Kluyveromyces lactis: one gene and its partner. The protein of the gene in region 1 interacts with the protein of each later gene in a pairwise test. Links are inferred from orthologs where the notes say so. Each region holds a gene or a part of one and is shown in the gene's direction. Other genes may lie near its edges.

Evidence for each region. The genes of interacting proteins can lie anywhere in the genome.
Region 2: the proteins of ARG3 (region 1) and CAR1 interact in binary tests that used the Saccharomyces cerevisiae proteins (3 or more experiments, as listed by UniProt). The link is inferred for Kluyveromyces lactis from reciprocal best matches to the Saccharomyces cerevisiae genes ARG3 and CAR1.

The regions. Positions count from the first base shown.
Region 1 is NC_006042.1:1,330,550-1,334,401, forward strand, and holds ARG3 (ornithine carbamoyltransferase), read left to right. Parts: upstream 1-2,045; coding exon 2,046-3,050; downstream 3,051-3,852. Other genes in the region: SIP4 (Sip4p), read left to right, coding at 1-529; NTR2 (Ntr2p), read left to right, coding at 858-1,712; TRL1 (tRNA ligase), read right to left, coding at 3,194-3,852.
Region 2 is NC_006042.1:59,698-63,432, reverse strand, and holds CAR1 (arginase), read left to right. Parts: upstream 1-2,048; coding exon 2,049-3,008; downstream 3,009-3,735. Other genes in the region: PEX25 (Pex25p), read right to left, coding at 1-605.

The DNA.
Region 1 (3,852 bases):
CGATAATTCAAACGTGAAACCAATAAATTCGAGAATCTTGAAGACTGTTCAGTTTATGCCTTTGAACAATAAACAATTGATAGAGAACTGTTTGTTGAACTTATTGAATGAACCAAAGGAAACGTTCAACTGGTACAAATACAAGAAGTTGTTGAAACGATGGGTCACCATTTGGATGGATGATAACGACATTTTCTCAAGGTTAATCTCTCACTACCAACTCTCCATCGGCATGTCAGATATTTCACCAACCATTTCGAATTTCAAACCAATGGGGATGGTACCTGATACCGTTAACGACACAACTAATTTATTCAAGATATATGACGATGCCAATGATAACATAATTGATGACGAAGGCTACGAAGAAGATAACGAAAGTGACTACAACGAATTGATAATATTGCCCAAGAGGCGAAGCATGGGTCACCATCCATCTGCAAGAGCGTCCAGCATCCATAAAGCCGGAGATCGAACTGATTTTTCACTTTTCAACAATAAGATCGACCACATCATAATCAAGGAGTAGCTACTCAAATCAAACAGAAAAATTCAGACAGAAGAATCAACATCCGCAATATCCATAACTATTTATTACTGATTACTACTAAGTGTCATCTCCTCTTCAGTCCTTTCATGATAATTATTACTATATTTATTCTGTTCACTAGACACTATTCTTTACTTCTCCCATTAAATATACTTATAATGTTTTATCAGTTAATATTCATATATACCATTAAAATACAAGGTGAAAAGCATAACAAAGGGAATAGAAAAAGAGACAGAACAATACATAACAAGACAGAGAGGTATATAGAGATTATTTCCGTTCCACCCAATACTGCTGTCTCATCATGGTAAAGATCAAGTTGCCTGATTTAGAGAGCGATGAAGACGTAGATCTGATAGGAACCTCGATCAACAAAGCTGCAACATCAATCTCTGACGAAGAGACCGAGGAGCAGCTGGCCAAACCGTTAAAGTTCAAGTTGAAAAGAAACAAACAGGTACCACTAGTAGAGGAATATACCAATGATGATGATTACTCCACGTTGTTTGAGCAACCCGCCGGAACAAAACCCCGTAATACAAAGGAAACGATTAACGTATTGAATTTAGAAGATTTAGAAGGTTCAGAGGAAGAACAAAATGAACCACCTAAGTACACCAAGAAAGTACAAAACCGCAGCCAGCTAGTTTCAGAGAAGAAAGTTAACGAAAAGACGTACGTGAAGTTGCTCAGCAATCAGGATAAAGACGATTTACGTGAATTGGGAATAACCGCCCAGGCTGATATTTACGCTGAAGAAGACGATCAACTATTGATGGATAACTCACTGCAAGACGAACGGTTAGCATTGGGAGACAAAGAAAAACAGCTGATGCAACAACGGAAACGTAAAGAGATTGAACAATTGATAAGTTTGCATGATGAAGAGACCGTTTTACCACAGGAAATACAAGAACTTGATAAAATAAGCGGTCAAAAGACAGTTCTTCTACCCAGATTGCAACCCGAGCAAAAATGGGAAGATATATATCAAGAGTTGAGCGAATACGCTGCTTCTCAACGTGACAGAGACACTCTAAGCTCCAAGAGAATCGAAATATTATCACAGCAATTGCAAGATTTGACGTTGAAGAAGGAAACCTTTCTAGAAGAGATGAAACAGATAGCATCGTCACATAACAACAAACATCCCACGTGACCAAACACGAATCACGTGATGCTAAATTGTGACTCACCATATAAGGTATGACGCATAGTTTGGGAAAGAGCCCATTCGTACAGAATGACTGCATGGTATATAACGAACAGCACGAAAACGGCAATTTCTCATTCAGAACAGAAAAAAGTTAATAAAAAAAGACAGTTTGACCAATTCTTACCGTTAAGTACAACTGATAACGAACTAACAGTTTTAGATTCTACAAAACTTGCAAGTATCTACACGCATTTGACAGCTGCTTTCACCTCAACCGACTGATTTTTAGGTACCCGAAGGCTGCATACAGAATTTTTTACTCCAGATTTACTAGCTATGACTATAATGAGCGCTGCTTCTTCCTCTTCTTCTGGTGATATTCGTCATTTGATTTCGATCAAGGATTTGAGCGATGATGAGTTCAAGAGCTTGGTCGATAGAGCCGAGTATTACAAGAAGGTGTTCAAGAGTAATGATATTTCAGAATTCCAAAAACAACATTTGAAGTTGTTGGGTAAGACCATCGCTTTAATTTTCACCAAGAGATCTACTAGAACCAGAATTTCCACAGAAGGTGCGGCCGCATTCTTCGGTGGTCAACCAATGTTCTTGGGGAAAGATGATATCCAATTAGGTGTTAATGAATCATTCTATGATACAACTAAGGTTGTGTCTTCCATGGTTTCATGTATCTTTGCCCGTGTCAATAGACATGCTGACATTTTGAACTTGGCCAAGGATTCTTCTGTGCCAATTATCAATGCTCTTTGTGACAAGTTCCATCCTTTGCAGGCCATTTGTGATATGTTGACCATTAAGGAACATTTGGACTACGATAACAATAAATTGAAGATGGCTTGGGTTGGTGATGCCAACAATGTGATTAACGATATGGCTATTGCTGCTTTGAAACTGGGGATCGATGTCGCCGTAGCCACTCCTCCAGGTATTGAATTGGACAGCGACATCCAACAAGAGGGTCAAAAATTAGCTGCTCAGAACAACTGTGAGTTTGTCTGCACTCATGATTCGATGGCTGCTTGTACAGACGCTAATATCTTGGTGACAGACACTTTTGTTTCCATGGGTGAAGAATTCGCTAAGGAAGCTAAATTAAGACAATTTGCTGGGTTCCAAATTAATTCAGAACTATGTTCTGTTGCTGCACCAAACTATAAATTCATGCATTGTTTACCAAGACACCAGGAAGAAGTTACGGAAGAAGTCTTCTACGGTAAAAACTCCATTGTTTTCGAAGAAGCAGAAAATAGACTATATGCAGCCATGGCCGCTATTGACATATTTGTGAACCACAAGGGTGACTTCTTCTCACATCCATAATTTCATTCGGATAGAAGTACCTCCTTTCCCATCGTTTCTCCATCAATGTTTATATTTGGGAAACGTTAATGATATATACTCTCTTATATAAATCGGTTGTATCCCGGTAGCTTGGAAGTTACCTGCATAGTCATATTATAATGTTATAAATTAATACAGACTTTCCCGCTAAACTGAAGGTTGTCAGTTGTCCCTAGACTGATCATACCTGTATCAGTATCCGATTCTTGTATACCGAACTCATACACTTCTTTAGCCAATTCACCAGAATACTTCGCTGTTTTCTCATTGGAAAACAATGCAAGTGTTATGTGAGGAACTTTGTTAAGGCAAGTCAAATGGTCCAAATGAGTACCATCTGGCATAACAATTGGATGGGTATCATCTAGCAGGGAAACGGTAGCTAGAATTACGTGCTTATCCCAGATTAAATCTCTCAATTTGAAAGAGACACTATCCTCCGTAGCGATAATGTTTTTGGTAGCCTCTGAGTTATTTTCTTTTGAGAGATACTCTTTGTATCTATCCAAGTATTTGGCCCACATTTGTTTAGCTTTTATACCAACAGACCTGATTTGAGACTTATGGTATAGGGTTATATGCAAAGCGTCTTTGAAAGGAGTTGAATCCAGACTTTTAAGCAAAGAAGGGTACTCTGATGCATGTGTTTCAATGGTTTTTCTGACATGTTGCAATAAAAGGTCTGTGTCAATTACATTAGCTGAGAAATATACAGGTTTATGCTGCTTTTTGTCAATTTTATTCCCACCTTTAATGATTTTCGTTATGGTTGGTTTGTAAT
Region 2 (3,735 bases), about 1.3 Mb from region 1:
ATGATTTGCCTATAGAAACCTAGCTGGCTACTAACCAAAGCACCCTTTTCGAGAAATAATTTCGAAGAGCTAGATAAGAAGAGTTTACCTGAAAGCCTTGGATTCCTTAGGATTGTGAGCAGATTGCCTTTTGAAAATAATTTCAGATAAGCATCCACGTCGATATCTTTATTATTGTAATACATTGACCTCTGTATGAAAATTCGTAGTATATCTATCACATATTTGAATATTTTCGCTATACGATCTTTACCCGTTAGTGTCGCGAAAACTGCTTTCAAAATATCAACCTTGTTCATAACTTTGATCAACTTAACACTGTCACTACGTTTAGAGGAATTATGCACAGTTCTGTCCGCCCTACTCGTTGCACCCATTGTGCTTTCCCCTGCTGATAGAGATAATGTACCATTCTTTTCACTGGCATTAGTACCACTACTTCCACCATCACTGGAAATAACAGTGACTTCTAAGTTATTCAACTTTGTAGGTGTATGTGAATTATTCTGTATCATCATTGAATCATTCCGTGCTGAGATTTCAAATCCCTCCGTTTCGATGCTTACATCCGCTATATTAGGCGGTCTATAAAAATCGTCATTCATATCGACTTATTCTGAATTGTGTAAACGAGCCAATGATTTTCTTATGAGCTATCACCGTCCTTAAGTAGTCGATTCTTCAGGATCAAGATGATTATAGAAATTACAACAGAATGACTGAAGACAGTAATATCCTTTTCTTTCACCACTGAACTAGGAAAAGGAACCAAATTTGCTGACTCTATTTATTGCCGGGATATTTTTCGACTGATTAATGCAGCATTGGCATATGTAAAGGATACTCTTAATATAGTGCAATAATCTATGACTCGTCAGTTATCTGCATCAGCTTTGATTTGTTTTGTTTAAGATTTTCTGTGTTTTACATTTTTCCTTGGGTTTATTTTTTTAATTTTTGGAGACTATGCAGTTTAAACACCAAAGGAAGTCATCAACGGATTGAACTGAGCTGTGGGAACAAAAAAAATGAAGGCTCGAAGCCTTTAAGGGTTTACTGGATAATCCAAATGCTCGGAATTAGTGTCAAAAAGCCGATATTTTGAACTTTGAATACTCCTACCAGTACGCGGCAAAAAGATTGATCACCGATACATACTCAGCGCTCTATTGTGGATGACATTACCAACATTGGATAGATAGGCATCGTGCACGTGACTTGAAATACCTCTTCAAAATGATCGCTCACAATAACTATGAAAAAATGACGTTCATTAGTTTTTCTCCGTTACCCGATCTTCGCTAGTTTTATCACTTAACGAAATGCTGCATACAAACTATTATATCATAGATCATCAAGTCAAGCTTAGCAGCGCGATAATTACCGATCCCAAAGAGAGCGAAATCAAGACTGACATGTATTCTTATCTCGAGATGAGAACAATTCCTTTTTCTGATACTCATCCTCTTTTCACGTCCTGCCGTCCAATCGCCGTCAAAGTAGCAATTTTCGAGGCATGTTCTTTCTTCTATCTCTACATGTGATGGAATGTCACACATAAACGTTTATCTAGCCTGAAACCCTTAGCAATTGTCCCCTCCAACATATTGTTTGGCGATTCATTATATAGGATATGGTTGTTTTTTTTTGTTTTTTAACTATGTATTATTATCAGGAAAATCGGTAAAATACGTCAAAGGAAAGTTTATTGTCGTTAAGTGCAGGAACAAGAGAACGGTAAAGAGATGAAGAGGAGAAGCATCGGTATACACAAGCACTTAACGGATTATTATGAATTAACAGGGGCGAATTTTTTCTCGAACATGTTTCGCTGAATGGGATCGTTATAGTTTTTCGTCAAGTATATAAAGAACCGAGTTTCCCTTCGAGAGAAGTTAGACTTCTATAACAGCTTTTCATATGTCCAATGATTAGCGTCAATTCATATAATACTCAGCAAGTCGAAAAGAGGTTATTCACTGATATACATACTGTATTCTTGAGTGATCTTTAGAATTTTATTATAACACGCACAACACAAATACATAATGTCATCCGATCCACGTTTTGATTTCTTCCAACAAAAGAAGCTTGGTATTGTTCTAGCTCCATTCTCTGGTGGTCAACCAAAATCTGGTGTTGAAAATGGTCCTAAATACTTAATGAAACAAGGTTTGAGATCAGATATCGAATCTCTAGGTTGGGAAACTACTCTTGAAGAACCTCTAAAAGGTAGAGATTTCGAATCTGGTAAGAATGATGAAACTGATGTTTATGGAATCATGAAAAGACCAAATTTGGTTGGAGAAGCCACAAAACTAATCTACGAATCCGTTAAGAAGGTTTCCAACGAAGGCAGATTGGCAGTGACCCTAGGTGGTGATCACTCGATCGCTATCGGTACCGTGGCTGGCGTCTTGGACAAATACCCAAATGCTGGTTTGTTATGGATTGACGCTCATGCTGATATCAACACATGTTCTACTACTGAATCCGGTAACATTCACGGTTGTCCTGTCTCCTTCTTGATGGGCCTTGATGCTAAAAACACTCCTCCATCCTTAAAATGGGTTCCAAAATGTTTGGATCCAAAGAAGATCGCCTACATCGGTCTAAGAGACGTCGATGCCGCTGAAAGAAAGATTTTGAAGGATAACGGTATTGCCTCATACTCCATGTATCACGTAGACAGATATGGTTTGAACAAAGTCATCGAAATGGCTTTGGAAAAAGTTGCACCAAACGGTGATGAACCAATCATGGTTTCCTACGATGTCGATGCTATCGATCCATTATACGTACCAGCCACTGGTACTCCAGTAAGAGGTGGGTTGACTTTAAGAGAAGGGCTGTTCTTGGTAGAGAGAATCGCTGAAACTGGTAGGCTAGTAGCCCTTGATGTCGTAGAATGCAACCCGGAACTGGCTTCTCACGATGGTCACGTGGTAGATACTATCACAACTGGTTGTTCCATTGCAAGATGTGCTCTTGGTGAAACTCTACTATAAAGCTAGACTTCCGCTTTCAAGGCCGTCCCAAAATTGTACATATATAATGAAGCTCAGAAATGAGCAATAAATAATCCCAACTAAAATGATCTATTGAATATCTTTAATCATAAAACCCGTATCCCATTCCTGATGAACTCCTTTCTAAAGTCTCGTGACTGATAAATAACCCATTAATATTGTTGGTGATACTGGTATTACCAGTCACGTGTTGTTATTTCAAGATCTTTTGTATCTGATGAATCCATAGTGTTTATTAGCTATATATCTAGTAATGTATGTTGATGCACCTGGGGTTCTGGCATGACTGTGTTGATGGTCCTTGTCCAGATCTAATGCCTCCTTATATAATAATTCAGATTGGTTAATGGTGTTTCAACTAGAAATCCTTACATATCATCTTGATACTTAACCGCCTATTACATTGGTAGTTACCCGATCATAGTTTATGATCCGTTTCAACAAATATCGATTTTAACTTCCTCCCTCTGGTCTATTTCTGACCAGGTAAAGTCCCATTAGCCACAAAAACATCAACAGTAACATCTGCTTGACCCCGGCCCTTCATTGCCCCACTGCTCTTCTCCAGCTAGTATGTAGAAAACACGTTTGAAAAGGAACGTGAAAAGGAGTAAAAATAGCGGGTCGTAATGGTAAAGGCAAAAGAAATAAGGGTGGAGCAATTAATGGGTCACTTGTAACAACTGCTACCTAGCCTGGATATTCA